3 linked regions of the Drosophila melanogaster genome follow. The protein of the gene in region 2 interacts with the protein of the main gene of each other region in a pairwise test. Each region holds a gene or a part of one and is shown on either strand. Other genes may lie near its edges.

Region 1 (9,213 bases), on a different chromosome or scaffold from region 2:
GATTCTCATTCCTTGTTTTTTAGCTCAAGGCCCACAGATCGTAACAATTTTGTAGGGCATTAGCTTCGAAGTGGACCAAAGTGTGAGTTGTTATTGATTTGTTGGCAGTTGCTGTTACAATTATTATTGCGCACACTTTTCTTTCTCTATTTTTCAATATTTTTTATTTTTCGTAGCATCAGCTGGCTGCAATATGTCCCCGAATGGACTGAAATTCTTATTGAATGCCAGCCCAAGTCAAGTCGAGTGTGGAGCGTTTTATTTCATTTTGTTTCGCCAACGCCAACGGTCAGCGGTTGAAATGTTAGCTAGATATAATGGCCATAACAATGGCCATAAGCTGGCTAAAATTGAATTGTCTCTATCTGGTGTACGTGAGTGTATCTCGTATCTGACTGGGGCCAGTAAGCCACAGATGAATAAGCTTGAGCTGCACTTAACCATTTAATTATTGATTCGCACAGCCAACGGATACATTAGCTATCTAAAGGTAGAAGTTCAAATCTTACGAAATGTCGTCGGTTACAAGGGTTAACCGATAAAACTAAAGCAACTTTGTAATCTATTTGTTAAGCGCTTATTGTAACTCAACCAGGTCTGTATGGCAAATGTCACTTACATCCACTTACTAACTAATAATTATGAAAGGATCATAAGAAGTCCAGTAAGTTAAAATAAAAAAGGCTTTTAATACCTCTGCTAAAAAACCTTAATTACCTTAAATATAAGCAGATATTATTGTTATTATTATTACAGTTAAACCAAACACTACGTGTAACTTTATTTTCACTATTCCAGTGCGTCTGCTAAATGACCACAATAATTTTATTTATTTACTTACCATTATTATTCTCTATGGCGACATACCATGGATAGTGTCTGCTGCGGTCGCATTCGCTGGCTTTGCATTAAAAATAATTGTTTATTTATAGCAGTCGATTGGCTTGAAACCAGTTCGAATCGCAGCGTTAAGAAAGCACACAAACAAATCGCTGCCCCAAGGGCCATAATAATGGATCGCATATATTTACGGCAGCCAATGCTGATATCATCTTTGGATAATTGCACGCAATTTTCACTCGGCGCCCACGTGATAATCGTGAGATATATGCTACTTCAGCCACTTCGACCGATATCTGTGGGCTGCATTTTGCGTGGGCTTTTAGATCAAGAGTCCGCTTTTAAATGGAAGTGGCTGATGGCATTTTATAACCACCAAAAGTAATTTTTATGAGCATCTATTTCCCCCGTTTGTCTTTCGGCATTGGGCACATTAGTATGCAATGCCACTGCATTTTCCGTGTCAAGCATATGCGTATACTGGCTGCCAACCTGACTTATTTCCACCCGCCAGCCAACCGAGCTAGCAAGCCAAACCTACGAGCCATGTTAACGACATTGCATTTCCTTCATTTTCCTTAGCATTTCCATTTTCCATTCCCAGCATGGCAAGCAAACAGCTAACAACAACCCACTTCTCGGGCCTTTTATTGCTTTGTTCTCCGACTCGCATTCAATGTCTCAGAGCCTGTCTTTCATTGTTCCCTTTTTTGGTCTGCCTCTGCAGAGAGGAAAAAGTCATAAATAATAAATAAATGCATATTCTATATTACAATTTTAGTCACAATAATTAAGGGAAGATCAGTGCAACTCTCATGTCAAGGCAGCATATTAGGATAACCCAGAATGATGAGGTGTAGCTTAAAATTAATAATTTAATTTAATGTATAAAATGTTTATTGGCCTAGGCTTTATTTACCAACCCATTTTCTCTCAATGTTCCCCCTTTCTGGGTTGGCTTGAAAATGGGGCCCCCAGATGATTGTTGTGGCATGAATACGTTGGAGGAAAGGTTCTTCGATTCGAGTGACCAACGAAGCAGAATCAGCTCAATTACTCAACTTTTGCAGATCTCGTTTCCAATTTCATAGCAATGCAAACACATTTGCAGCCACACGACGACTCAACTCCTATTAGAGCCAGTAACGCTCTTCCAGGTGGAAGAGCTGCAGACACGCCTGTGCACACAACTTCACATCTTTTTGGCCAACTTGAAGATCTGGCCCAAAAAAAAAGTTTCGGCATAAAAAGTTTGCCAACCAAGCTGCTCCTCTATGACCAGACCAGAGTCGAAAAGACAAAACAACCTCACACCATTCAGCAGACTTAAGTTGAAACAGAAACTGGGTTGTGATTGTGCTGGTCGCTTCTATAAGTCTGCACTGAAAGAAACCAAGCATTGATCTAACAAGAATTTCCCTAATTTCCTGGTTAGTACAACTAGCATGTTTCATTTTAATAGTATGACTACAGTTTATAGAACTAGTTGAGCTCGCAGCACCCAAAAAGAGTTTCTTTCGATAGTTTACAGTGTACTGAAAGCATAAATATATCTTTTTTTCTGCACATTGAAGCTGAAACTTGGAGCCAAAGTTATTGCCAGGGAAAGTTTCCGCAGGTCGTCAAGAGAGTGCTCCAAAATGGTTGCCAAAAAACTGACTTTGCCAACATTCTTGAGCCTTCTTCGCCAGCCAGTTATGAAATATAAACCTGTCTCCTCCGGCAGCCGGCTAATGAGTCCAGAAATGGAAAGTAAAGGAAATGTATGTAAGCCCGGTTTCAAAGTGCACTTACGCTCCCATCTGCGTGCGTTCGAACCGTATTATTGTAAACAAATTTCCAGCTGCAATGTCGGTAAACCGGTTGCTCGAGTACGAAACCTGGAAACCTGACCTGCTGCAAAAGCTTGGCCAAAGAATGGATAAGAAAGTGAATTTCATTTGCCATCCCGGCAGCGCCAGCAAAGTCTATTTAAAAGTGCAGAGCAGCAAAATGGAAAATTAAGCACATCCTGTGCCAGTGGGCTGCTTCACATGAGGTAGTATACTTGATAAATAATAGCCAACATCCAGGGGGGCGTAGGTTTAATAATAACCCGAAGAAAAAAACAAAAAGTACTTTTTTGTATTTTTTGTTTCTACAAGCCTTAATACGGGCATCTAGCGCGTATTAAATGAAAACTCATTAACTACTTCTTAAGGTTTAAAGACTTGATCTCCTCTTCGGTGAGAATGGATTTCTTGAGCGCTGAAAGAACTTCAGGTGGCTGCTTGGAGAGCAGCTTCATCCGCTCAATAGCCACAAGCTCATCCTGGCGATTCTGTTGGTTGTAGACCTCCTGTACAATGTCAACCACCTCCTGGGCAGCGGCTTTCCTGTTATTCTTGGCCTCCACGACCATGTGGGCCATGTCCTGGTAGCATTGGACATCCAAGCGCCGGGTGTTCTCCCGCTGGGCCACTTGCATTCGATACTGTCGTTCGCCGAAGCACATGGGATCCTTGGGCATGACCAGGGCATCCTGCACACCCTTATCTCGGAAGAACTTCTGCTCTTCCCGCTGGCTGAGGAGCTGTTCGCGAATCTCCTGCTTCTTGGCCATTTTGGTTCTAGCCTGTTCCAAGGCCTTCGCGTTCTCCTTGGCCTTGTGCTCGCGGATTAGCAGACTGGTGATGACTTGATCTCGGGACTCCAGATCGTGCTTGATCTGGCTGAGCTGGAAGCCCAGCCGAGCGGCATTAATGTCCCTGGCCTCGATCTCATCAAGGCGTCGTTTCCGTGCCTTTGACACATAGGCCGCCGTAACGGGTCCCAGGGCATCAAGGAGTCCTCTCTCGGGCTTATTCTTTTGGGCCAGAGCGTAGGCCTCGCGGGTTTGCTTCAACATGGCTGCCGATTGGTCTAGGGATTCGAGGAGCACCTTGCGCTGCTGCGCCTTTGTAACTGCATCCTTTAGGATTCCCTGCTCCACTATCTCCTTGCATTCCTTTAGCTCTTGACGACCCTCGGCCACAGCTATTCGATGATCTTGTATCCGCTTGGTACGCCCCTCGGTAATCTGGGCCATTAGATCTCTACGAAACACGGCTGCCTTCTGAGCCCTTCTTTGCTTCTCCTCCTTCAGCTCCTTTTCCACGGCTCGCTGTTCCGCCAAAGCTTCGGCCCGCTCCCGCTGCTTATCTTCCACCGTTTGTTTGATATTGTTGGTGATCTTGTTCTTGACAGCCAACGCTGTGTGGGCACGGGCCACTTCCATCTCGAGATCCCTCAAATTTTCCACATTGCGATGAAGTTGAAGGCATCTACTGGCCTCCACCTGCTGGCGAGCCAGTTCCCTTGCTACACCGAGGGTGACATCCACATCGGTTTGCTCCTTCCGTTGGCGCGGATGCAGGTGACTGTTGAGCATGGCGGCCACTTCGTCCACCTGGTGTTTGACCATTCGGAACAATGAGCTCTCCGCGACAGACGACTGTGTAAGAATGCGGCACACATCCTTATCAGAAACACAGTCGTCCTCGCCCTTCGGCATTGGTTTGAACTCGGTCAGAAGATTCGGTACGGGCTCCTGGGAGGCGGTGGCAAAAATCGAGGCTCCCGGTTCATCCCAGACAATATGGCCAACGCGATCCGACTCCGGTTGGAGATTTTCCATCGTGGTTCAAGAAAACAAACCACTTCCTTTTAAAGAAATTACTTAGGAAAATTTAACTGGGAATGAAATATGTGATATGTCAAGGCGTTTTGAGTGGTATTAGTTCACTCAAAATGTTTTTTTTTTGTGCTAGTAACCTAACGAAATCTACTGACTAACTGAAGACTGCTAGAAAATTTTCAGATATTAAAAAACGACAGTTTTCAGCTGGATAAATAAGTTTAGAAAATAATATTCAGGTTAATTCAAATTACAAGTATGTTATGAAGAATTAAGTGAAACAGATAAGAGCTGGCTAATATTTTTAAGCTGCGAATATAAAGCCACTTTTCTTGATTTTCTGTCATTGACAGAATCTGTCAATTGCCCACGATTACAGAATGTTCCCTTTATATCGGTAAGTTAGCTTACCGTAATTGAAAGCCTGTCCTTCCGTAATTTCAAATTACTTCCTCTGTGAGATTCTGGAAAGGCATTGTAGCTTTATGCAACTACTTTTCCTGAAGCTCAGAAACATGCACTCTACTGTGGGCTGTCTGTGGAGGTCTGTGTGGACTTCCAGTGGATTAGCATATTTGAGTGGGTTCTGGGCCAAGAGGCCAAGAGATCTCTCTCTCTCTCTCACCTACTGCATGGCCGCATTGGGAGCCACAAGCTCGACGGGGGCCAACTTAATGGGGATATGTGCATCAAAGTAAGGCTCAAGTGCTTCCCTTGCGAGCGCGTTGTTGCCCCGACTATTGGCTATATATACCTTTGAATTTGCATACGAATTTGTATGGAAAATCACAACCGAGCTAAACGATTGAGTTTCTGAGCTCGAATGCATTGCACTCAATAGAAATAATATTTCTCCTGAATTTAAAACAGCTATTGAGCTAAAAAGGTATTTAAATAAAAGTCAATTATTTACAGAATACTGAGTATATTGGAAAATAAGATAAAACCAATTATAATTTGTTCACAATTGCAATCAAACATTTTCAACATACGTATATTTAGAATTATAAACTATGGTAGACGTTCTAGAGCGATCTGTCGAGGATTTTTATCGTCTGGCTTCCATAATTTATATATAGTTATCTAACTGCTGAGCGCTGGTTAAATGCTGCCCTGTCATCGCCGTCTTCATCATCATCGTAATCATTGGAGGCAGAAAAGAGCGGAGCTCTCCCAGACCATCAGTCACTGTCCACGACAGAAGCTCATTGGCGGAGTCTCTGTGGCAGGAGGGGATTGAGTTCGTGGCGGGGGGGCATGGGGAATGGGACATGAGTAGCTCCAGTAGCAGCTGCAGCTTCCGAAGGCACTTTCCTCGACGCATTTGTTGGCTGTCCATGGTTTTTGCCGACCAGGGTCCGGATAACCTTTCCATTTTACAACTGTCAACGGCGCAGCGAACGCGATTTGCCAGCGGTTTGTTTTATTTATTTGTTTTTTTTTTGTGCCCCCCCCCCCCCCCTTATTGCCATTTATATTTTCCTCCTGTTTTCCCCAGTGTCGTAATTACGCGTAAAGTTTTGTGCCTGCATTTGAAATTGTACGCAATTTTCCCCGAAAGTGTCAACGCATGTCGGGGCTTTAAAGTTTTGAAAAATGTTAATTTGTTGTCGTTGCTAATGCTGCATTGGGTTTTTCTCTTTTATTTTCCTTTAGCCGCCAATGCAGCTGCTGTTTGAGTTGAGTTCAGTTTTGTTTGTTTGTTGGTTGGTTGGCAATTCGAATCGAACGCGTCTGGCATTACATGACACTCATTATTGCACATTAAGTTGGATGGATGATGGAAAGTGGCGGTCCGACCCTATGAGACAGCAGAATCGCTGGACTGGGGGGGACAATAGAAAGCATTGTTGCTTACCTTAATTGATATAATAAGTATATCTGCCACTCGCACGGAAGTTCGGCATTAAGTCTTTAGCCAGGTCATCGTCAATTAATCAAACCATCTTCGGAGAGAAACTTGCCATGTCTGGTTCAACGAACTTTTCGCGGGGCTTTTCATTGGTATTTAACATTTATGTGTCTCGAATGTAAATGCTTAAAAAAAAGGAGAGGGTAGGGTTTTATTTAGATTTTAAATCAAGCTACATACTACCTACGTTAGGTTAGAAGTAGTGTCGAGATATTATTTCACCTGTAACATCCTTTGATATCTACTGATTTAGGGAACCCTTTTCAAGCGAAGGCAAGCCTTTCGCTATTTGTTGACCTGGAATGTCGGACAAGTGAGGAATGTACACAATGGCAAAGTGCTTGAATCGCCATGTACCGTGCATATATAGTGGTCATATAGGGTTTCTTGTATTCCACTGGGCAACCACATGAACGAAACTTTATCCCCTTGACCCTTTGGCCCCCGTGGCTAGTTCGAAGGCACTTGACTGCTGGATTTGTGCAGATGATTTTATTTTATTTATACACTTTAACTTTGAATCCATTTAATATTGAAATTTCTTCGTAACTTTAGACGGGACTATCAATAATTTCCGGAAAAAAGATGCAGGACGGCAGCAATACGGAAAAACTTTCAACTGCAAGTGGCAGACAGCTCAAGACAAAGTTTCAAGTGCAATTTTCATATAATTTCCATACAAACAAACAGACGGTTCACTTGGGGCACGACCTGAGGTCGCGTTTATGTTTTATTGAAAATGAAAATATCAATTTGCCTTTCAGGAATTTATTTGCTACTCATAGTTTCATGTTTTGGAGCTTCTTACAAAGCAGGAAAATTCTTATTAGGAAGTTGAAATGGAAATTTTTTGCACAGATGTTTCGTCTATTCAATGAATAAAAAATATCTATCTATTAATTCCATAAAAGGAACCATGAATAAATTGAAAATTCAGAAAATAATTTGTCTACGAAGACTAGGAAAACACTTAAACAAATCTATCAAATACATTTAGCTTATTGGTAGCCCGATGATAGATTTGTTAAGGAACAAAATCATTATGCAGGTCAGCAGATATTCCAGAGCACCTCATTTATTGTTAAATCTTGTTACTTCTTAAACCAGGAGAAGGCAATCCTCCGATTCATAAATTGTTGTGTGCTTTGTATGCTAACGTTATGCTTCTATGGATGTTTCTGGTTCAAGACACAGAATGAATTTTAATTAAATTGTGTTTATAAATAATGGCCTTTTTGCCCGGGCCTGCCAACAAATTGAGTTACATAATTATGCGCGGGCTGACTGCGGCGGTGGCCAGAAACCAGACTGGGGCGCAAAAAGGCCAACGGAGGCAATCAGTCAAACCCAAAACAGCGATACAAACAAGTGGGTTTCGGAGGGGCGGATGATATGCGAGGATGGGTAGAGAAGCATTTCATCGATATCAAAGTCTCGATGCTTACACACTTAATCGAATTTAGCGACAATTTTACCGAGTTTCCATTAGCCTGTTGTAATGGATGATTTTCCAATTACCGGTCGCCCTGCCACTTTCAGTTTGCCCCCTTCAGTATTTTCGGGTGATCACAGTGCGTATGGGTAATAGCAGCGGCAACAGCAAATGCGATGCCAATCGCACGCACATTCGTCATCCACACACACGAAACAGCCGTTCATTCTCTGGGCAAAATGCAAATCGATGGGGGCAATGTCAGGGTTTTTGTTTCCTTGTGGCTTTTGCCAAATTGCCCGCTTTCTTTGTTGCCCGGAGTTATGTTGATGTCGCTCCATCGAGCCGAACAGCCACATTTTGGCATTTCCGAATGGCAAATAAAATTGATACACTTTCATTTGTGGTCGCGTGTTTGGGATGTTGAATCGAGTGCACAGGGAAAAAGTTTCATCTTATATAAGCAACAATTGTTATTAAAGTTATCAACAGTCTACATTTTATATTGTCAAAACAGGCTATTCGAGTGGTATAAGACTTTTCTGTAACAACACATGTAACTTTTAATATCTAAGCATATCCATTCGAAATAGATTAAATTCATCGGACCAGAACCGTGTGTGTGAATGGTATTTCTTTTTGCACGTGTAGTGGTGGGCTGAATGTGCCTTTGTCATTTCCATCACAATCAATTTTTAATGCCCAGCATTCAGCCGTCCGAGATCACGAACCCGAGCACGTTTCCCGAGCCACATGGGGCGCACGGTGCGGATACTTGATTTGCCTGTTGCACCGAGATGTACGGCCTTTGGTATCGGAGCTTTGGAATCACATGCTCCGGTATTCTGAGAAGCCTTTGACACGAGTGGGTCAGGTTGGCTGTCTGTTGGCCAAAACTGTTGCCCGATTGAAAATTGGCCTCAACAGGTGCAGCTCAGCGCTCAATTATGGTTGACAGGGGCCAGATAATTTAGTGTTCGAATGTGGATTGACATCGCCTTTAATTAAATGTTCCTCGATTGACAATGATGAACTGACATATCAAATTACACATGGGAAATATGAAGAGGTTAAGTCAAATGGCCTTTCAAAATCGATTCTATTTCTTGTGGCTTATAAACAAGTAAAATTCATTTGTTTCAAAGTCTCCGTTGAAATTAGTTTCGTAGTAAATAATTAAAAATCAATTTTAGCTGCGCACGGCGTTTTTACAAAGCCATTGTTGTATATGTTGGCTTTAAAAATGTGTCAAAACAAAATGACACACACTGTACGGACTTCGATTGGCTGCACATAACTTTCCACTTAAATGCAGCCGTTGATTGACACATGGCTGAAATTGAATTAAGTTGGTTGTCATAAATTTTATAGCCG
Region 2 (12,805 bases):
CTTCTGCTGCACTGCATCTCTTTGGTACTGAAGCCACTGCCCCTGGATACTGATATCTCCGCCTTCGTAGGCTTCCTGAAGCGCCTTCTCGTGGCAGTGCCACGATCCGGAGTTCAACTGGCGGCCGTCAAGGCCAGCCTACGTCTGCAGAGATTCGGATTCAAGTACACTCTGGATGCCCTGAAGGACTACAGGCCCAACTACGAGCTCGACCCGTTAACGCGGGCCATGATTCGATGCTTTGCGAAACGGAGGAGGCACTTCCGTCACGTGGCGGCCACTGGGCGGCGTACAGAGATTTGAGATTCCCTTTTATGAATTGTAACTATTTATTTATGTATGTTATTGTATAGATTTTGAATTAAACTAAATGCCAACTGCGCTGCGGATCTTTACAAATTTAAACTTACAACTAAAATACACAAAACGATTGCACTTAGGTTAGGCTGGGGTTAAGGTAAGTCGTGGACATGGGACATGGAGCGCAAGCAAGTGAATGAAACAAAGGAAAGCGTAATCAAAATGTACAAAAGTGCTTAGCGTGGATTTGGACAGAAGTAGCTATACTTAATTCGTGGACTGTACAATAACATGGATCTAGGATGCGGCATACACATACATCAGCGGCTTCTACTACTCGAAATGCCTGCAGAGTCAGCCGGAAGCACCCATGCCGTGCGCGAGGGTGAGGTATAAGTATAAGGTACTTGTGATCTCCGACATCATTTGCGGTCTAGAAGCGCCACCGGGCAGGGCTCCCAGTTCCAATCTCCGCCGTAGAGAGCCATCAGTTCATGCTAGATCAGTTTGTTCAGCTGCAAGTGTTTGTATTGGGTTAGTTAACGATGCAATATGGAACTCAAATGGGCTTCCCTACCAGCGATCGCCGCTGATGCTCCTTTTCCAGTGCAACTTGGGCCTGCTGCGGCGAAAATTTGAGCACTGCCGATATCACCTTGACAAGCGTCTCGTTGTTCGTGTTCCCAGTTAGGTACTGAAATGGAATATATCAGTTAGTTGGGAGTATATATTTGGACATTATCTAGTTTGATTCCCCACCTGGAACATGATGTTGCGCAAGTACTCGAATTCCGTGTTGGCCGGAACAGCCTCGCTGTGTTGCATGGATACCTGTCGGCAAGAGAAAGGAATCAGCAATGGAATCAAAGGGTGGGTGCACCGCTGCTATGGACTCACCAGGGTTTCATCCAGTTGCCGCGAGAGTTTCGCATTCTGCAGCTTAAGTCGCTCGTTGGACTGTTCGAGTATGAGGAAGTTCTCGCATTTTTGCTCCAGGAACAGGTTTCGATTCGTCACGTCCTGCACCTCGTTCATAATCTCTTTGAGCTTAGACTCCAGTTCAGCCTTCTCGCCGGCAGCGGCTGCCTCCTGAACGTTTTTGGGCGCCATGCTGGCGAGGAGTTGCTGGGCTTGTATGCCGGCTCGCAGGGTTTCCAGCTCGTTGATGCGCTCCGCCATCTGCTGGTTGTTAGCCTGCAGCTCCTCGATCTCCTGCTGCATATTGGACTCCGCACCGGCGCTCTTGTGCTTGAGATCCTCCAGCTCCCGTTGCAGTCGCTCGTTCAGGCTGCGCAGGCTGTCGGAGTCGGTTGAGGGGGATAAATGCTCCTTAAGGCAAATCACCTCCTGCCTTAAGCCATCAGCTTCAGCCTGCAGCAAGGCCTGCTCATCCCGACTCATTGCCAATTCGATTTGCTTATCGTGGAGTTGCTGCTGCGCTTGAAGAAGGTCTTTTTGGACCGCATCACTCTGCTCGGTGACAAAGCTGGCGTGCTCCTTCTGGCGGGTCAGCTCCACCGCCTGTTCCTCGATGGCCTTCTTCAGTTCGGACACCTCTGCCGTTGCTGTCGCACTCTGCGTTTCCTTTTCGGCCATTTGGACGGCATGCTGCTCGGCCTTCTCCTGAAGAACGTACAATTCACATTGCAGGGATTTCAGTTTCTCCTTCAGCTCCGCACTCTCAGCCAACTCGGCCTCCAATTGCTTCGTGTGCTTATTCAAATACTCGTTCTCGATCAGGATCTCATCGAATTTGGCCAATTTTTCGGAGGCTTCAATCTTTTCTTGTAGCTGACGATCCCTTGTGGCCATGGCTTCTTGGAGCTCCACCACCTGACGGTTTTTCTGGGCAATTGACTCCTTCACCTCCTCGCGTTCCTGGCCGTGCTTAATCTTCAACTGTTCCATCTCCAGCTGCAGGGCATCATTGGCTTCGTGAAGACGCTCTACGTCTGAGTTGGCGGCGCTCCAGCGAGCTTCCAATGTGGCAATTTGCGTGGTGTAGGACGAATTGGTAGCCTGCAGTTTCTCCTGAATGCCCTGCTCTGTCTGCTTATAAGCATCAAGTTGCTCGCGAAGATTGCTGATCGTGGCCTGCAGTTGGGTCTCACTTTCGCTGTTTTGGGCCTTCAATTTCGCGCATCGTTCGGCTTGGTCTTTCAGCTGCTGCTCCTGTTCTCTTTGTCGCTCTCTCAGCTCCGACAGTTGTTGGTCCTGCTCCTTCAGTTCTCGATCTAAGTTAGCCTTAACCCTATGCAGCTCCTCACTGGCCGACTGCAGGCAGTCCAGAGTGTGTTTGGTCAGCAGCTTATCCTTTTCGTAGGCATCGCATTTATCCTGCAGCGTCCGATGGTCGTGATCCATCAGCTCCTGGGCATTTTGCAGCTTCGAGTGCTCGTCGAGCACCTGTTGCAGCTTCGCCTGGATCTTGCCGATCTCGTCTTGTTTGGCTTGCAGTTGGGACTCCAAATGATTCGTCTGCTCCTCCAGCAGACAGTTGCGTTCGGCCAGCTTGGTGTTTTCGCTCTGGATCTCCTCCAGCTTAGCTGAGGTCCTCTCGTCCTGGGCACTGCTGTCCACTTGCTCCTGCTGCAGTGACTCGATGCGGGATTCCAGCTTGCGCTTCTCCCGTTCCAGCTCGCTGTGTGAGTCTTGCACCTGTTGCATTTGCGCCTGCATGGTGCCAATCTCCTCCAGAATTCCAGTGACGCGTGCCTGCAGCTCCTCCTTTTCGCTCTCCACCTGGCGAGAGTGACTCAGTCGATCTGCCAACTCACTTTGCAGAGCTTCGAGGCGAGCGCTTTGATCGCTTGATTTCGCCTGGTGCTGCTCGTGTTGCTTCTTTATCTTGTTCAACTTGTTGCCGCTGGCTTTCAGTTCCTTTTCCTTGGCCAACAAACTGGCCTGACTGGTGGCCAAGTCCTGACTAAGAGCCTCCAACTGCCCTTTTAGTGCAGCCACTGTTTCGCTCTCCGAGTTCGCGTGCTGATCTTGTAGTATTTGAATCTCTCGCTGTAGCTGTTCCAGCTTAAGCCTATGCTGTTCCTCCTGGGAGGCTTTCTCGGAATTCAAAGCGGCCACAGATTCGCGCTCCATTTCCAGGCTCTTCTCGAGTTCGAGAGCATGGAGCTCCCGTTGCGATTGAATGGCTGCCAATTCCTCTCTTGCCCGAGCGAGCTGAGCTTCCCAGTCGTTTTGTTGATGACGCTGGACAATTTCGAGCAACTGATCATTGTGCAAGCGCAGGTCCTGCAAACTGTGCTCACTTTCGGTTTTAAGCGCATTCAAGCTTTGCTCCAAGGATGCCGCTTGCTCTTCCTTGGCCGAGAGTGCGGCCTGAAGTGCGTTCAAACTGTGTTCAGTGGAAAGAAGTTTGGCTTCGGCTTCGTCCTTAGCTGCACGTAGTTCATTGATCTTCTGCTGGGAATCAGTACTTTGAGCTTCTCGTTGTTCATTAATGTGGTGCAATTTTTCTACATTCACATCGTTTTCCTTGGAAAGAGTTTTCAGTTTGTCTTCCAACAAAGCGACTTTCTCTTCCTGTGCTTTATAATCATTCCTGAGGGAGTGCAAAAGTTCTTCCGTGGCTAAGAGCTTCGATTCGGCTTCGTCCTTGGCTGCTTGCAGTTTCTTTTGCTGATCCTGTGCTTCGTTAGTTTGAGAATCGCTACTTTTCTTGTTTTCTCGCAATTTATCTAAGTAATTTTCGTTTTCTTGTTTCAGTTTACCCAACTGCTCCTTCAGATGCTTTAGCTGCTGCTCCTTGGCTGCTTGTTCGCTTCGGAGAGATTCCAAGAGCTGATCCTTGGACAAAAGCTGGGACTCCGCATCCTGAACGGCTGCTTGAAGTTTCTTTAGTTGCTCGCTTGAATCGCTTGCTTGGGTATTTCGATCTTCGTTCTGTTTCTGCAGATCTTTTACTTTCTGTTCGTTTTCCACCCTTATGGCTTCCAGTTGCGCTTCGAGTGTGACCACCTGTTGCTCCTTGATCGCATAGCTTTCTTTTAGGGTGTTCAGCAGGTGCTCTGTAGCCATAAGTTTGGCATCGACTTCCTGCTTCGTGGCCTGAAGCTTTTTGAACTGCTCCTTGACTTCGTTGTTGTGGGACTCTCGCTGAGATTCCAATTGCTTGAGTTTCTCCTGAAGCTTACGCACCTCGGTGTCCTTTAGCTCCAATTCCGTATGGATGGCCTGCTTTGTCTGGGCCAGAAGAAGCACGTTCTCCTCCTCCTGCTTGCGCACAGCTTCGTATTTTTCGGTCACACTTTTCAGCTGCTCGTCCCGCTCTTTAAGTAATCTCTGTAAGTCGGACACACCGGAACTGCCATTGGTGGACAGGGGCGACTTTCCGATCGACTCCTCCAGGTCGATTAGCTGTTCGGACTCCAGCTGTTGGCCGCTTCTCTCCAGAGCCGCCGTAATATTCTCAGGATTTTCGCCCAGCAGCTGGAGCTTCGTCTGATAAGCCTGCATTTTGCAGCTCATGTCGTCCATCTCAACGCGCAGAGCCTCCTCCAAATGCGCCTTGGCCTGCTGCTCCAGCGTGCACTGCTCCCTCAGCTCGCTGATTCGGCGCAGCGCCTTGTCTTGCGTCTCCACCAGCACAGACTGCAAAGCGATATTATCGGAAATGTTCGTTACACAAGCTTATCAAGCAGACCGATTAGATAGGCAGATAGATAGATACCCGCGCCTTGGAGCTGTCGCGTTCCAGTTCCTTGTACTTTTTGGCCAGATCCGTGTACCGACAGCGGTACTTGTGGTAACGATCAAGTGACTTCTTGTACGCATCGTACAGCTGGTCCTTGGTGATCACATCCAGACGAGCCGTTGAGGCGGAGTCGTCGAACTCGCTGCTCGTTTCGTCCAGATCAGATTGCAAGTGGTACACCTGGAAAGTAGAACACATAATTAAAGCAATCTCGGAGACTTTTCGGCCACTTACAGCTGGCGCTTCATATGTAGGCAGGCGGAAAGACACGTCGCTGGCCATGGACGAGTTGGAGAGCTTGCGGGTCCTGGAGGTGGCGCCGTTCAGGGATTGCGTCGATCGTCCGCGCAGAGCGGATGCACTTGTGGCCGGCAGCTTTTGGATGCGATAAGGCGAGTTCTGAGGTGTGTCTGCGCGGTGAAAGATGGATTGATATGTGAGATAAGGAACCCCAGGTGACTCATGGCGTACTCACCCTCCTCCGTGATGCTGAAGAAGTTCTCATTGTTGCTGGTGTTCGTTTCCGAATTGGGTGTTGTGCTCGACGATGAGCTCACGGCGGCCTGGGAAAAAAGTCCAAGGAAGACTCATGAGCAGCTGGTCACTTCACTTTTCACTTGTGCACCCAGAAATGGGTCACAATCGCACAATCGAAGGCGACCCCTTCCCAGTTCACCGACACACATGCAATTCCGTGTCTGTGTGCGTATGTTTTCCTCAATTTGCATTTTTCATCGGCAATAAGCACCGCCCCGCCCCCGCACACAAAAATACCTGTGCAGCATTCGCAAATTGCTGGAACTTCGAGGGCGACGCCTTCACCTCCTCGATCAGCTTGTTCTTCAGGTTGGCGAACATTTCGAGTGCCTGCTGCGCTCTTTTTCAACTGGTTGCGCTACCTGGTTTAAGCACTATTCAATTTGTAATTAAAAAACATCTAAATAAATACGTGTCTGCAGATGTTCATTCAACGGTCACACTGCCGATAGCCTCGGGAGTTATCGATAACAAGCGCAGTATTCATTAGGGACGAACGCAACTGCGGGTCATTAAGTTTATGAACGTGACGAAAAATTTTAATAAACATAAATAAATGTTACGTACAATGTAATTTTTATTTAATACACACAAAAGTAACAATTTAATTAGTTATAATTGATAATACCTACCTCCATGTTTTTTAATACCATCTTGGTTCAAGATATTTTCCACAGGTGGCGCAGGTTATCTTTAAAAATATTTGGAAGCCTGTTGAACGCCCTTTCAATTCTTTAAATATAGATATATAGAAAGTTCCTAGGTATGATGTATTCAATTTTTTCTAACAATACTACTATAATGAACTGTTTACACGCTAAAACTGAATGAAAGCTGGTCAAACTTGCTAATTATGCAATGATTTAGCATTTTAAGTAGCCGCTCGTGTTTGAGGAATCCTCATGTTGTGGGCAAAAACGCTTAGTTAAGCACCCTACAGTTTGTTTTTATTCGAAGATAATGCAGCATACGTTTAAATTGCACTTCTTTATTTATAAAAACCGCGCAATAGTTCGTATAACTGTGTTTTCTTGTACGTGAAATATACACTCTTTTCATAAATTCTATTTTTTACAAGTTGTTATTCTTTTTAAGTTAATTGATTTTTAGTCGATTATAACGGCAGGCGATAAGGCCTTAGTTATTAACGAAGAGGAATTGAAAAATAACTTATAAAGAAACACATCAACGAACTTTATTGCTTTGGTTCTGTAACGAAGCGGCCATAAACTTTAGTAACCTGTTCCAGCACGAGCTAAAGATGAGCTTCTAGTTAAAGCATTCAAAATATGGATGGTTTATTACGCACTTTTCAAATACATATATAATTTTTGGGTTACTGGTAAGTGGTAGTGAGCACTTGGGAACATACAAAAGAGAGTGAAATGCATTTTAGTAAATGTCTCGAGTTCATCCGTCCGTGCGGTCGCCTTCTGCCGGTGGATGGATCACCGCTCACTTGTGCAGGTTCTCGAGGAACTCCTTGTGGCGCTGGATGGCCTCCTCGTGCTCCTTGATCTGCTGGTGGTGGAACTCAGCCTGGTGGATCTGGTCGTTCTTAAGGCGATCCAGCTGCTCCCTTTGCTGCAACGAAACGAACAATGATGGATTCTCTCGATTAGCCGGTGCGAAATACAATTAGTGCTAGCAAGTCGTAAAAAGCTAATTGCTGGTTAGCTAAGCCCGCCCACCCCTGAAGCTTGCCATCAATATTGATCGACTGTCATCATTAGCTGCCAGCCATATAAGAGGCTTTACTACAAGAGACAATATTTGGTTAACAATTTTCAGACCGAACCCGTCACACGGGCAGACAAAAAGTTCGGATATCGCCTGAATGACCACGACAAACAGTCGACGGAAGTCTGTAAAGAGTGCGAAAAAGATCGGGGGAAAACCACCTGCCGCCAATGAACCTGAATCATTGTCTGCCGTTCTGCCTGCTCGTCTTCAAGCCACCAAGCTAAAAAGCCTGTTTTCAGTTGATAGTTGGCTACCGAAGTGAGACGTCGAAGAAAGTGTCGTTAGATCGGGGTCACCGTATTAAATTATTCCGCATTGTTAGGCCGCATCTGGCCAAATATCAACAGACCCTTGCTCTTAATTGGTCGTCAACAAGTAGACAAAGCCAGGCCGCGGTCCACACTCTTCGATCTCCGCCAGCCAGCCTGCCTGCCTCTCTGCCACTTATCAACGCCTCAGGAACCAACTTGCTTGATAAGCAGCTGCCCTTAGTTCGAACAGAACATTTACCATCCGACTCTGCTGCGGAATGGTTATGATGCCCCTCCGGATACTGCTGATCGCCTTTTCGCTGACGCTAGCCCAGAGCTATGGCGTCGGTGTCAATGGACCGCGTCCCGTGCGCACTGTAGAAACGCTGACGCAGTGGGGCCAGCTGGAGTTCGGATTTCCCACGGCGCAGGATCGGGAGAACGCTCAGGCGGCGGGTAATCTGGTGCCCGAGAACGGCACTCCCATCGATGTGCAGCCACAGTACATGGCCAATGGCCAGATCAGGCTGTTCACCACTATTCCGCGCTTCGTGACGGGCATTCCCTACACCTTGGCCACCGTTTCAGCGACGCAGGGCAGGAATGGCCCGCTGCTGCAGCCGTATCCCAACTACTCCTGGCACAATGCCAACGGCGAGGACTGCGATCGCATAACATCCGCATTCAGAGTGGCTGTAAGTGTAAAATGTTCGGACAGCTAAGTTTTTTCTACATTGAATCTCTTCCAGATCACCGAGTGCAACCAGATGTGGGTGATCGATTCGGGTGTGATTGGAACCACCCAGCTGTGTCCGCCGCAGTTGCTGCAGTTCGCCCTGGCCACCGATCGCTTGCTGCATCGCTTCCGCTTCCCGAACGACACATACATCCCGAGTGGATCGCTCTTCATCACGCCAAATGTACTCGTCCAGGATCCTCCGCCTAGGGGAACCTGCAGTCGCACCATGATCTATGTGGCCGATGTGAGCTATCATGGCTTGGTGGTCTACGACCACCAGGCGCAGACATCATGGCGGGCTGAGAACCGCTTTATGTATCCCGATCCGGACTACGGCAAGCACACCATAGCAGGCGAGAGCTTCTACCTGATGGACGGCATGTTTGCACTGAACAACGACAAGCGCAATCTTTACTTCCATCCGCTGGCCAGTGCAAGTGAGTATTCCGTGCCACTGAGTGCTTTGAACCGGCAGCAGAACTGGGCCAACGGGCCGGAGGCTCTGCCGGAGGAGTTCAGGCTGCTAGGCAGGCGGCGGAGCGAGTGCGCCGCGTCCGCCATCGATGGCAGGAACAACGTCTACTGCGTCACCTTCAATCCCGTCAAGCTCTTTGTGTGGAACGTGAACTCGCCGTACAATTCGCGAAACTTTGGCAATCTGCCAGCCAAGTCCGATGACCTGCAGTTCGTCAGCGGCATGAAGGTGTTGCGGAACCGCGAAGGGCAGGAGGAACTCTGGATGCTCTCCAATCGCTACCAGGTTTGATGTTCAGCAGGCTTTTGTGTGCCCCGTAAACTGATTGTTACGATTGTTCCCTTAGAAAATCGCCGCAGGTACGCTGAACTCGAAGGAGGTCAACTTCCGCATCCTGCGCCGCAAGTTGGATGATGTCCAGGGCGGCGTCTTCTTCTCCAACGACGAGGATCTAACCAATCGCCTGGTGTTTAGCTAGTGACTTAGCAAATCCACTTAATTAATATATGTAAATATTAGTTTTGTTGTGCACTTCACTGGGGGATCGTTGCGAATTCCGCCTAAGTGCTAATAACAGCCTATCTGAAATTGTAAAGATTCCGCAAAGCCTAAGAAATATATATGACGTGTAAATATTAACCATCTTGTGGTACTCATTCCCTTGAATAATTTAAATTTTACGACAGCGAAATATTTAAATTTACTTTGCTAACAAACCATATAAATGCGCATAAAACGATGAACCTGATTTGAGAAAGCTAACTTTTCGGTTACAAACTTTCAAAGAAATGTTGACTATAAAAGTTGATAAAAGTTATTGTGAGAAATGGAAGAATTGGAGTTTCTTCTACATATGTTTGGCCTATGAATGCATGCGTCCGAAGCTTTACTGTATTATTTTGATTTTCAAATTTCTTGCGCCACACAATTTGTGGCAAAGTTCAGGGTCACTTGTTATCGCCCCAAGTCTGTACTCCCAAGCAACAGTCTAGTCACGCACGAATCCCACTGGCCAGTAGAAGCCGCAGTGGCTTAAGATTAGACCTGATTCAGCGCCATCAAGTGACGTTAACCGTTTCGGGCATCAGCAGCATCGATTGGAACTGGATTGGGAACTAAATTGTACTGACTGGATAATGGATCACACTTAATGGGGCGACGAACCGAGCAATCGGTCCAAATGGGTGGCGGCGTGCATAATTAGCCAATACCAGCACCAGCAACTTGTTTTCCGAGGTGGACACCAGTGAACAGTAAACAAACTGCCATGGCTCGACCAGAATTTCAGTGCACAGAGTTTTGGGTGTGCAATTAAACCAGTTACAAAAGCTGACCCGCTTAGCCTGCTGAGTGGCTGGCTGGATTAGAAAGACATGGGCCCGCAGCTCCACGCGCATGTGCAGTATCCGCTCGGTGTTTAAGTGGAACAGTTGTCGCGAAAGTGAAAGGATTACGGCATGGAGCGTTGGATTGTCTTCGGTGTCTGCTGTTGGTGCTGGCTGGCAGCATCCGCCCAGGCCTTGGAAAGTGTCTTTGGAGCCTACAATCTGGAGCTGGAGTTTCCATCGCCGCAGGAAAGACAGCGCGCGCTGAGAGATGGACTATACGATCCGGGCAGCGTGATCCCCATCGATGTGGACGTCTACTACAAGCGTAGGAGTTCTCCATTTCAGCACAAAAGCCTACCTAATTTGCTCTCTCATTTAGATGGCGATGCCACACCCTCGATATTCGTGACCATTCCGCGTTTTGCCAAGGGCGTTCCATACTCTCTGGCCTACGTCACAAACGAAATGCGACCGAACGGGACTCTCCTGCAGGCTTATCCCAGCTACGAGTGGCACAAATCCCACGGAGCCGACTGCAATGGATTGACTTCGGTGTACCGCACACAGATAGACGAGTGCGGGCGCATGTGGATCCTGGACAGCGGCGAGATCGACTTCATTCAGCACTGCCCGCCGCAGCTGTACGCTATTGACTTGGAAAGCGGAAAAGTCGCGCATCAGTACAAGATGCCCAAGCGATTGTACAAGGAGGGCGTGAGTCGCTTTGTCACGCCCACCGTGGAGCTGGATCCGCACAACTGCGATGTGGGATTCGTGTACATGGCGGACTCCATTGGAGACGGCATTGTGGTGTATGACGTGGCAGCCCAGCAGTCGTGGCGGATTGAGAACAAGTTTACGTATCCTCATCCAGACTTCGGCACATTCACGATAGCAGGCGAGAGCTTCCAGCTGTGGGACGGCACGGTGTCTACCACTCTAACGCCCCACGGCTTGGGTGGCCGGCGGATGATGTATTTCCACTCTCTGTCCAGCGAGTGGCAAATGGCCATTCCGTTGGATGTGGTCAACAACGGCAGCAACTGGCGGCTGAACGATGTGAGCGCTGCCTTGGATCAGTTCCAGTTGCTGGGCAAGCGGGGAAGTCAATGCGTTGCGGCGGCCATGAGCGAGTCCGGCTTTCTGATCTGCGGCCTGGTCCAGCCGGCCAGCCTTTTGGCCTGGAACATTCGCACCGGCTACAGCCATCAGAATCTGGTCATGCTGGTGGAGGATGAGCAGCGACTGCAGTTCGCCAGTGGACTCAAGATAGTGCGCAACCACGAGGGCAAGGAGGAACTGTGGGTGCTGTCGAATCGGCTGCAGAAAGCCTTCGGAGCGGGTCTGGACTACAAGGAGATAAACTTTCGCATACAGAAGTGCGGTGTTCAGGAGCTGCTCAGCGGCAGGCCTTGCAACTGAGTCGCTTCCCGCTGCTGCTCAATAAAGCTAATGATGAAATAAGTTGTTTTCTGGGTCACTCACCTTCTTGTAGAAGTACTCCTCCTCGCGGGCAGCCTCAAGCTTGCCGAAGGCTCCGCCGGCCTCGCGGATAGAGCCACCGCCGCCGCCTCCCTTGCCGGCGCCACTGCCTAGGTCGCCCACCTGGCTGCCGCTCATCTTGGCCAGCCTGTGGAGCGGAAAATGGCGGTGGGAACCATTAGAATCTTCTGGTTTTGTGCGGTTACGCAACAGTGGAGTGAAGTCAGCATAGACTGCACACACACACATGCGCGCAGGGTGAAAGCGATTTCGATGGGATCGGAATTGTTTATCTTATCGAACATTGAGGAAAGTGTAAGTTGGGGGCATACATAACACTTTGAATATGGCGAATGAGATATGAGTGCTCTGTTAAGTCTTGTAAGCCAATTAGCAGGTAGTTATGAACGGGGGTTAAATGTGGGTAGAAACTCACTGGACTCCAGCGGGGTACAGACGAGATGCGCTACGACGTACAACGAACATTCTGTTTGATTCTTGAGTAGTTTAGCTGCAAGAGAAGCGCAGAAAATACAATTTATTGAGAAAACTCCATTACGAAGAGTAACTGTAAAGCCGTCTCCTTAACAAAACGGAGTGCATTGAACTTTTTCGAAAACCAAGTCGCAATAAAAGAGCCGCTATTTTTAGCCAGTTCTTTGTTTGTTGTTTGTATAAAATATATACACGAATACCCAATGCACATACTAGATTTAATGCCGGAAAAGTGCGGCGCGCTTGAACATTACTTACATTTTTGCGACGACAAAAGTTTTCTGCAGAGTGACCGTAGGCGCACCCTTAAATAATACCTTCGCGGCAGAGCGAGCACAGTCGGCGTGGTCTATCGAATATGTGAGCTTGCGATTTTAATCGATAACGCTTTATACCCTTTGCATACTGCAAATAAAACTAAGCTTCTTCTGTTGTTTACTTAATCATGGTAAACTAATATTTCAATTGCAGATTTCTTACTAGCAACAAATTTAAATTCTCAATCGACTTGGACTCTAACTTGACGCTTTAACGCTTTAACTTGAGTTCTCGTCGATTGTTGCCTTAATCCAGTCGACGTAGTGCGTCACATTCGTGGCCACTTCGAAGATCCTACAGGATGCATCCCCGTAGCTGACGAGTCCGAGCAGGAAAGCCCGCTTCTTTAACCCGAAGAGCAGCTTCGCGCTCAGCGGGCCCCCGGAATCCCCACCGCAGGCATCGCTGTCCACGCCAGTGGTGCAG
Region 3 (10,133 bases), on a different chromosome or scaffold from region 2:
TGTCCAGCGTAACGCCATCAAGTGCAAAGAGTTCTGCTCTATTCAAGGAGTTCTCGATACCCTGGAGCAAGGTGCCTGGGGACATAATGAAACTACTAAAGGGAAAGGGGAGTTTGGGCAAGCGGTTGAATACACTTGCGAATGTTTTGGTGGAGGCTCTCCGTGAAATATCCGCCCACATTCCCATACGGATTTTCCGGCAGGTCGCCCAACAGGCGGCTGAAAAGTACCCCGACTCCTTACTCGAAAAAGACCGCGAGGGACAGTTTATAGCCACCACTCCGCAATCGCTCATATCCAAGATGATCAACCGTAACAATGCCCTAAACAAACCCCAGAAACGCGGCAGCTCGGGAACCTTTGAGATCCACATCCCTAATAAAAAACGAAAATTCGGAGGTGGTGCTTCCAATGGTGATGCAAAATCGCTGGCTCTTAACAGGGATCTGGAGCACAAAAAGGAGTTACTAATCTCCAGCTACCGAGGCAGTTCCCCACTGGAACAGTCCGTCATAATCGAATATATGAAAGAGTGCTTTCCGTTGCAGCGCTCCTTTTTTAATAACAGCGAAAAGATCCCAGATATAACGGCCATTAAGGACAATTGGCCATATATTTTTGACAAGGCTGTGCTGTACCAGCACTTTGAGCTGCTTATGTCCATCGATCCCCGGGCTCTAGAGAAGCGCTTGGCTACCGAAAAGGATCGCTTTTTCAGGTTCTTTAAGAGTTCAAAGAACAAGAAGATCAGCTCTTTGGACGAGACCAACGCTAATTTCCTGCGTGGCATAGCGTACTATTTTAATGAGGATCCCGACTACATTTTCAAGCACCTCGAGAACAGTTCCCTTAGCAAGGAATCACTGCAAAGCACGAATCCCACAAACGCCCCCTGGGTGGCTCTAGTCAGTAAGTACACAAAAATTAATATCACTAAAAGTGTTTAAATACTTTTAAAATATTTATCTTCCCACAGATTCACCCATAACAACGGCCGACGGCGTGGAATCGCAAATGGAGGCGAAGGTCTACATTGAAGGCCAGATAATGGCCACATTCGCCGCCAAAGACGAAGACCTGCCGGACATTCTGGCCCAGTTAATCTGCTACTACTATACCTTTAACATGATGTACCCTAAGGAAGCCAATCAAACACTCGAATTTATCGTCGTTTACTTTCTGCAGCACTCGCCGGAACAAGTGCGATCGGCCAAAAAGTCTGTGACCACCAACGGCAAGTTTAACCACCTCATCGCCAAGCTTGCCAATGTACATGGCTGAGATTTCATTTGGACGATTTTTGGCTGGAACCATGGCGCAGCGAGCGCCACTTCAATCTCCTCTTGCTCCTCCCAACGGAGGAGGAGCCGAACTCTGTTTAGTTTATTTATTTTCGCCGACCTATTCCACATGTATTTGTACCACTATTTTTAAGATTTGCATAAAGTGTGTAGTAATGTTGTGTATACATTTCTGATTTGTCACCCGACAAAGAATCTTTTATTTATTTTTTAATTGAAACTTCATGTTTTGCCAGTTGGGGTTGTGAAGTCACCTAAGGGAAAATAAGCTAAACTTATTCATTATGTGGCCCTTTCTGAAACGGATTTCTCCTATTTGGTCCCTTCTTTCGATAAGGATGTGCATTATCTCGCATTTTCTGAAAGGGATGGCTACCCTTTGCTTCTTTCGCATTTGATGATTTCACATTTCGACGTGTATGATTCGAACGTTCTAATTCGAACTTGTCCTTTGTCAGCTGTCTATATTTCAAGTCCTTTAGGGCAGATTTAAGTGTTGCATTCTTTTTCGTTAAATTGAAACCCAAAGTGAGTTGCTTTCGGAAAAAGTTCCGCTCCTTAAAAGTGAAGTTCTCAACGTCCGTGGAGAGCTGTTGTTTTCTTTCCGTGGAGGGCTTCTCATCGTTGAAGGGCTCCCATGTAGTATCCTGCGACCGGTTGGCTTCTATGACATTTCGACGGTGGTTCTTCTGACGCTGCTGCATGAACTGCCTTGCGTCCTCGCTGTCCACATCCTGGTGTCCCCGGTCCGAAGAATCCGTAATTATGTCGTTCTTCACATGCTGCCAGGGCGTCGCAGTAGCTTGTGGAACGAGCGCTGGTTTCGGTTGGACATACTTCTTTGGCTTGAACTTGGTTTTGCCCCAGTCCTTGGTGCGGCTCTGCAATTGACGTTCATGGCGATCATTATCTTCTGTTTTCTTCGGATTGGTAGAATTCATAGCGTTGTTATTTGTGGTTAAACTGAATATCGTCCATCTGACCATCTGAGGTGCCAGTTTGAGAAACTATCGAATCTAGCTATATATGTTAAATCTTATAAAAACCTTCCATTGGTCACTTCACATTTTAGTCCATTACATGTATTATGTCACATATTGTCACAGTATTATATATATATATTATATTATATATAAGGTATTCAAACTTAATATACATATAATGAATAGCAGTTTTGGCTTGAAAGAAGCCACTTCGGCAGTCCCACCAACAATCGGATCTTATCGATAACCCCAATCGGCTCAACACGTGCGCCGCAACTAGGCGGTTTTATAAATATTAACAATTCCATAATGCACAACAGTGGAGGACAATCCGGCTGGAACCTTTCAGGAGAGGAAAGAAAACCGTTTTCGAATTACGGCCGCAACAATCAGCAGAGGCGCAGCAGTGGAGGCGGGGGAAGAGGCAGCCACAGCCAAAATCGCGCCGCCAATGGAAACTGGCCAGACGCTGGATCGGAAGGTGGGCAGAATGGAAACGCGTTTAACAAGTTCAGAGATCCCCAACAGGAGCTGGATAATCATCAGCCAAACAAGAGAGGGGGCCGAAGAAATAGAGGCGGTGGCGGAGGAGGTGGTGGTTGGGGTGGCAGGCGAGGGAACCGCGGCAGAGATTCCAATAGGCGTGGTGGCCGTAACAACTCGTGGCAACCTAAGGATCAGCATGTTAGTCCTGGCCAAAGTAACATGCTGTACTTCGATAATGTGGGGGACTTTACCGAAGACCCACCTCTGCCTCGATCCTCGCCTGCTCCCTCCTCTCTCAGACAGGAGAGCCTGCCACCTGTTACTTTCGCTGCGGACTTGACGCCACCACCACCTGTATCTGTTGCACCACCTGATGTGGCTGTTACGCCAGAAGAACCTACTGTGCCGCTAATCAATATCAAGAAGGAGAAAGAAATGGAGCACAAGTCAAAAATAAAGCAATTTGTCAAAGCGGAGCCCAAATCTCCTAAAAAGAAGAAGGTTAACTCCTCTAGGTCGTCATCTACTTCGGGAGAGGAGTCTGAACCCGAACCAGGGGAAATGGTAGTCAACACTAAGGCAGTGGTGGTGCCGTCCCCAAAAGCGAAGGCCATCAAAACACCTGTAGCATCAACTCCGAAACCAAAGGCTGTAAAACCAGTTTCGTCCTCCGACTCCTCAACTTCGGACAGCGACACCGATGATGAACAGAGTCATCCGCCGGCAAAGAGTAAAAAGATGGAAAAGAACACCGAGGAGGATGTTGTCTGCATGGGCTCTCAGGAGCGCCAGTTTACCATTACCGATGAGGAGGAAAGCACCGAACCTGAAGACGACAAGAAGGCCAGAAAGCAAAAAAACAAGGGTAAAACCGTGGATGTGTGTGGCATATGCGACAAGAAGGTAAATATTTTAAAAGAATGTTACCCAATTTAAAAAAATCTCTTCCAGGGCCACACCTCCTTCCAGTGTCAGATGATATGTCGTAATTGCTCCGGTAGTTATCATGGTCTCAAAAACTGTCCAAACCCGCCCAATCTAAATATTGCCATCCAGTCGTTTGTGGAGTTTGCCATGCAGCAAATGACTGCCTTTCATTGCGAGCAAGGATTTGGATTTCCTGCTGGCACAGTCACAGCTCCAGTTTCAGCAAAACCCAAAAAGGACAAAAAGGCGTCAATAAAAAAGATAAAGAAGTCTTCACAGAAAAGGATGAAGGTGGAGCCGAAAGATCATGACGAAGAAGATGACGAGGAAGATGACGACGAAGATGAAGATGACAGCAGCGAGAGCGATGACTCGGAGTCCAGCGAAGAGCCTCACCCAGCTCCTGTGTCCAAACAGAAGCGGAAACGAGGCACCAAAGCCTCCGTATCGGCCGCAGCCAGTCTACCTCCTCAAGTGTTTCCATTTCCCCTTCTAGGCGCCCCGGGCGCCCCTTTTAACTCCATGATGTATTCTTATAGAGCTCCGTTTAATTTTTCTAAATAGTTATAGCGTGAGTTAGTTGTAAAGGAACGTGAAAGATAAATACATTTTCAATACCAATGGATTTAGTTCTTTCATTTTAATATTTACGGAATTTAGGAATTACGCCTCTGTTGTTTAAAACGAGAATGAAGTTGAATTAATTTTTGTACAATACATACCGGGGAATAATATCGATAACCAGGGCAGACCTATTTATCGAAATGTATCAGCCGACGCAGCCCTGGTTTTGTGTTTTGCCAGCTGTTGCTTCCACGCTTTTGAATAAAAAATCAAATTAATAGTGTTTACTAGGAAAAACGTATGAAACTCAGTGAAAAAACTTTGCAAAAAACTTTTGGGTAAGTGTATTTACCTAAATTTATTGGTTTTCTACGATTAAATCTCAAGAGCTTTGAGTTTTTAACTAAAGGATCCAGGTGTCTGATTTTTAAAGTTATACTCAACTTATTTATAAGGAAGCATTTTAAACGATAAAAGAAAACATAGTACATAAATTTAGGACATCATATTGAAAATGAATATTCCTGGACTCTGAAGTATGTAAGTGCCTCGGAAACGAAATATACAAGTAATTTTTAGGGCTACTTCCCGCCAGAGCTAAGGCATCCTGCTTTAAGATCAATTTTCCTTGCCCTGTCTGCTTGACAGGATCCTAGGGTATGCAGAGAGCCAGGGTCTCGCGTTCCTGCTCGGTGCCGCAGGACACTGGGTGATTCTGGCCCCGGGGATCGATGCCTGGCTTGAGCATCGTCTGCTGCAGCTCCCAGATGATTTCACACGACTGGACGCTCACGGCCAGCTTAAGCACCGACTGATAGTTGAGCGGATTAACCGCATAGCTGAGGATACCCCTGGCAATCTGCTCGAACAAATAGTTCCTGTCAAGCAGAAGGAGCTCCTCTCGTACCTCCATCATACGGTTTTCAAAGTGGCACTGAATCGCTGCAAATACCAGCTTGTCCAGACCCACCAATAGATCCCGCTTAAACTTCACCAGGTAGTGCTCTATGAACACGATCTGGTTGCGATTTAGATGCGGCAGGCGCACCTTGTCCTGTATTACCTGTTCGCCGATCTGGCTGACAACCAGAGAGGCTAATGATCCCGCCGGAGTGGCCCGACGTTCGCTGCACGGGCGGACGTCCACGAACGGATGAATCTCGTAGCTGCCCACGCCAATGGTGCTGGCTACACCGCTAAATGATACATGGGAGGCGCGCGAGTGGTTTTTCGGCTGTTTGGCCATCGACGGAGGCACTTCCATGGCTTTGTGGTCTCTGGCGAATCCAATGATCTGATAAGCTTTCTGCAGGCGGAATGAATTAGTGGTATGTCAAGAGGGACTGCTATTAACACTTACGTAGTGCACATATTTCTTTGCATCGCAGACAAAATCCTTAATGCGCGAGATCAGCACCTGCAAGGCACACTCATCCTCGCTGAGATCGTCGTTTAAACCAGAAATTATGTAGTCCAGTATATATTGTGCCGCCTTATAGATGGGGTCGTCTGGTGCGAAGCTGAGAGCGGTCTGACCCTCCATGGCAATGGCTGCATTCAAGGCGTAACAAAGATCACTGTCTAACAATCCCTCAAAGGTGGCCTGATACTCATCGCAGAATGATGGCTTGCGTTCCTGAAGTGTCGACTTCTTCTTCTTGCGGCGCTTTCTTTTGGGCTGACGAGCAGTGATGGCCTTTTGAGCTCTTTCCTTAATCTCGTCCTGAATCCGTTGCCACTTTTCTCTGTAATGAGCCTTGTGCCTGTCTATAAACGCCTCTCGCTCTTTTTCCACCTCCTGCAGGAGGTATTCGATCCTACGCTGATTAGCAATTCGCTCATCAAGTCGCTTCCTCCACGACTGAATCTGGTGCTCAGTGTTCTTTACCAGCCGTTGTTTCCTCAGGATTCGCATGTTTTTGTTGAACCGATCCTTTTTGAACTGGAAGAGCTTCTTCTGTTTGATCAATAGCTTTCTCATCAAATCCTGGCACATGCTTATGTGGGCAGCTACACGCATGTTTGTCAGCATCTTGCGGTGCTCCAGCAACATATTCTGCATGGTGGCCAGGTTCTCTAAGCGCTTAAACTTCTCATATGTGATATTCAGCAGATGGACCTTTCTTTCGTGGCGTTCCTGCTCCTGTAGTTTCTTTCTGGCAAGAACCTCCTCAGTGCACTGGTGACGGGCTGCGAGATTCTGGTGATCCTTTTTTGTGATGGACTCCGCGTTGGCGATCAGCATTCGATCATATTGCTCCGACTCGCGCCGCTTGTATGCCTGCAAAATGTAGTACAACTGCGATTTGTGCAGCTCCTGGCGATGCTGATTGAAGTCCTTCAGATTGCATATTACATCGTTGTCCTGCGTTATCTCACCGTTTTCCCTCAACCGCTTCAGATTACGCTCATTGGAGTAGAACGTCTTTAGGTTGGAGTCGTGTAGCGGATTGTACTCCGGGATGTGTTCGGTAACGGAACACTCAAACTCCTGTTTACCGCTCTTGAACTGGTGGATATGTATGAATGATGATGATAAAGTAAGGTTCTAGCTGATTTTCTACTGGTAGCACTTACGTCCTGTCCGATCTTGTTCTTGGAGAATATGACCTGATTGCCGGGACATTTGAGCATTGGCAGCTTGCAATTAAGAGGGATCAGCTCCCATCCGGGTAGACTGTTGATGGGTAGTCCAGTCTTGTAGGAGATCATCTTTAGCAGGGCCGGGTTTCCGGACACCTTATTTCGCCGCGGCAGCGACAAAATATCGATCATCTTGTCGCTCTAAACTTACAGTAGCCTAAATTATTTGTGCTTAACATTTACTCTCTGAGCGTTCCAAGAAAACTAATTTCGAACAGTGCCTTATGAAAATGTAGTAGCCCCGCCTACTTTAACAATATTCTATACTTTTTCCCTGCCGATTGTATATTGACTTTAGTCAATAGTTTGCAATATAAAATATATATATTCTTAAGCAGTCTCAACAACCGTTTTATAGCTATCTGCATGAATCTGTGGTCCCATCCTAAGAGGCCGAATCGGGATCGAAGCTGTCATTACCCTGGCTCCAGCAGATTCCAGGGCGTTAGTTCGGCTTACATAAATCCTCGGTTGACTATCCTCCTCAATATTTCGCTGTCTCTATCCGGGCTTATGTTCCACCCGCTTTTTCCGACCGCTGACCCAGTTTGGCGTCCGTGGATGATTCTAGATGCGGGCATCTCGGGCATAAATATTTACCAATCGTTCGGTCCGGCGCCAACATGTCTGCGTAGGGCTTTCCTTGGAAAAGAACACCCACTCTCACTAGCCGTCTTCCATGTAAATAAAATCACATCAAGTGCTGAAATGTACTTGCTGCAGCACGTGCTCCAAATATTCTCTCGAGTGTACTTTCCATTTCATCTAACACCTAGGACACCCCTCTTACTTTCCGACCCCGCTGCCGATGGAATAAATAAAAAATGATGGTGGCATCCGAAAACAGGCAAACTTATGCTGGAAAATGAAAGGTGCGTGCCAATCGCTAGCGGTCGTCTGTGTTCCTATTTCCATTTAGCGTTTCAAAATAGTTACTTCCTCCTGTGATATGGGTCCCTAGGGATGGCTGCGTGAGTCATTCGGCTAAATGGCTAGTTAGTTTTGGGAATCAAAAGTAGTGCTTTAACTTTTATTGAGACAACGTTTATAGACATGTGGTACACACAATGATAATATAATAAGTGGCAGGCTGTTTACCACATTCGTTGAATGCAACTAAGCAGACAGTTATTAACAATATGTCTTGGCCACATATCAATTCAGGCCTTTGACTTGTAACGTAAATTCTGATATAGAATTTTAAGTAAATTGAGTGTGGGTGCCCTTTTTCTTAAAACCCCCTTGGTGGGCCAATGAAAATCCTCTCCCGCTAATAATTTTCCTATGACTTACAATACCGGCAAAACCGCACACAGCTGTCCTCAACTCTCCCTTTCACCCTCCTCTGGTTGCTTGCCACTATAGATTGAAAAGCGTCGTCGTTCAACTGGTAGGCTTTTTGTTTTCAATCAGACGAAGCTTTCGGTTCGGTGTTTGAGAGCGACTTCGAACCACGGGAGAGAAATTGAGCTTAGAACACTAGCTTACATAGTTCACTGTTTTTTAAACCCATCTGTTTCTGTTTGACAACAGAAAAAAGCAACTCCGTTGCTTTAGCAATGCGAAATGGTCGTCAAACCTGGTCGAACATAAGGGAGCACTGAAAAAAATTCTACTTGAAAATGTAAATGTAATATATTATATAAAACTTATACGAATTTATGGAATTCAGCATTATATATAAAGAAGTACGTTTCACTACAGTTTCCACTATCAGTTTTGCACTTAATGTCGTTATTTTTCTGAGTGCTGCAGCACCGTTCGTTTTAAATCAACGATACGAGCTTCCAAGTTGGTTACTCTGTGCGGAGTTGTTTCGTTTGGTCGCGTCGGTCGAAGGAGTCGGTTGTTCGTTTTCGTGCGCTCAAGTAACGGTAAGCGCGAATGCCTTCGCCAGTTCTACTGTTATTTTACCTCGGGACGGCTATGCGTCCCTGCGTCCCTGCGCTTTCCTGTCTCTGTGTATGTGTGGGAGACAAACAAATAGCAAAACGAGAAGGAAAACCATAGAGAGGAATTCCGCAAAAAGGGGGGTGGCGAACATCCTGTTTTTCTGCGCCCGCTGCCAGAGTAACCACCCCCTCTCAGGGACGACAACAACAAAGTGGACTTAAGCGAAAAACGAAAATAAATATACGTACGAACCTATAACTGCGCCATTTGTACTTCGCAACAACAAATGAAAATATATAACTATAAAATTGTGTGTATGTGTGTGACGGACGGAGAGAACAAAATCAACATAAAAAACTGTTGTGGAGAAGATTATTTATAAAAAGCTTCGTCCGTAAAAATAAGCCAATCGAAGGATGCAATATTAAATGGCAGGCAAAGTGAAGTAGTGCAAATTTAAAAGAAGACAATAAAAAGGCAACAACATTTAATTGGACTCTAAAGCTACAACTTCAAAACTGTTTAAGGATGCCTAATACACTTTTGTAATCCGCAATCAAACCATTAAAACATGCTGCAAAATCGGTTGGGAATTATATGAATTCTTCCCATTTCTGGATTGCATCATTCGTCGAGGGCGTGGTCTAGCATTAAATGTAATGTACAGCTGTCAAGCAGGTCCTTTCATCATTCACACATCATCATCATCATCAGAGCCATTATCTCCAGGCCCAATAACACAATGTCCACAACAGCAGCTGGACTAAAGTCGGGACCCAAAGGAGCCTACGGCGTCAGGTCGGAGACGGATCACATCATAACCATAAGCACTGCCGGCTTGACGGAGTCGCACAGCGAAAGTCCCGCAAAGGGAGTAGTGACTCCAGTACGGAAGCCCCATTCCCTGGGAAGTGAAGATTCCCCAGAAAATATAATTCCGGGTGAACAGGCTGAGACAAATAAAAAACCCCTGCACTTGTGCCGGCTCTCGCAGCTGGTGAGCTACCAGAGTAACATCGCTGATGTCCAGCACCGGAAGGGTAGACGACTACACGGATTACAGCTGCCACTGCATCCCCTCCAAATTTTTGGTTGGCTCGTCCTCCTCCTGTTTGGAGTGGCTAGCTACTGGGTGCTCATTCCGGCCTTTCATGCCCGCATACAAGGACCGCTCTACGGACTAATCACCGGGCTCTATCTGGTGCACATCGCCTCTCATTTGACGGCTTTACTGACAGATCCTGCGGACAAGGAGTTGCGGCGAGTGCATCGCAACGATCGGATTGTCCCAGAATTTGACCGGTCGAAGCACAGTCACGTAATAGAAAACGGGAGG

What was found.
Region 1: the proteins of Golgin245 (region 2) and CG3610 interact in a two-hybrid assay, tested with the Drosophila melanogaster proteins (one large-scale study listed by BioGRID).
Region 3: the proteins of Golgin245 (region 2) and Dus1 interact in a two-hybrid assay, tested with the Drosophila melanogaster proteins (one large-scale study listed by BioGRID).

The regions. Positions count from the first base shown.
Region 1 is NT_033777.3:14,840,489-14,849,701, reverse strand, and holds CG3610 (uncharacterized protein), read right to left. Parts: upstream 4,660-9,213; 5' UTR 4,496-4,659; coding exon 3,029-4,495; 3' UTR 2,965-3,028; downstream 1-2,964.
Region 2 is NT_033778.4:23,371,046-23,383,850, forward strand, and holds Golgin245 (Golgin-245), read right to left. Parts: upstream 6,001-12,805; 5' UTR 5,870-6,000; coding exon 5,786-5,869; intron 5,575-5,785; coding exon 5,487-5,574; intron 5,422-5,486; coding exon 5,246-5,421; intron 5,192-5,245; coding exon 4,988-5,191; intron 4,909-4,987; coding exon 1,198-4,908; intron 1,132-1,197; coding exon 1,060-1,131; intron 995-1,059; coding exon 878-994; intron 816-877; coding exon 798-815; 3' UTR 315-797; downstream 1-314. Other genes in the region: Ice1 (uncharacterized protein), read left to right, coding at 1-303; CG13551 (uncharacterized protein), read right to left, coding at 7,004-7,132, 11,570-11,714, 12,003-12,052; yellow-d, read left to right, coding at 7,821-8,237, 8,292-9,041, 9,103-9,234; yellow-d2, read left to right, coding at 10,214-10,409, 10,464-11,506.
Region 3 is NT_033779.5:266,095-276,227, reverse strand, and holds the start of Dus1 (dihydrouridine synthase 1), read left to right. Parts: upstream 1-4,483; 5' UTR 4,484-4,599; intron 4,600-4,601; exon of another isoform or gene 4,602-4,913; coding exon of another isoform or gene 4,914-5,567; intron 5,568-5,621; coding exon of another isoform or gene 5,622-6,770; intron 6,771-6,838; coding exon of another isoform or gene 6,839-7,036; exon of another isoform or gene 7,037-7,140; intron 7,141-8,722; exon of another isoform or gene 8,723-9,539; coding exon of another isoform or gene 9,540-10,133. Other genes in the region: CG17078 (uncharacterized protein), read left to right, coding at 1-909, 977-1,281; CG11555 (uncharacterized protein), read right to left, coding at 1,577-2,242; mbm (mushroom body miniature), read left to right, coding at 2,594-3,673, 3,722-4,261; CG3345 (uncharacterized protein), read right to left, coding at 4,914-5,567, 5,622-6,770, 6,839-7,036; CG17075 (uncharacterized protein), read left to right, coding at 9,540-10,133.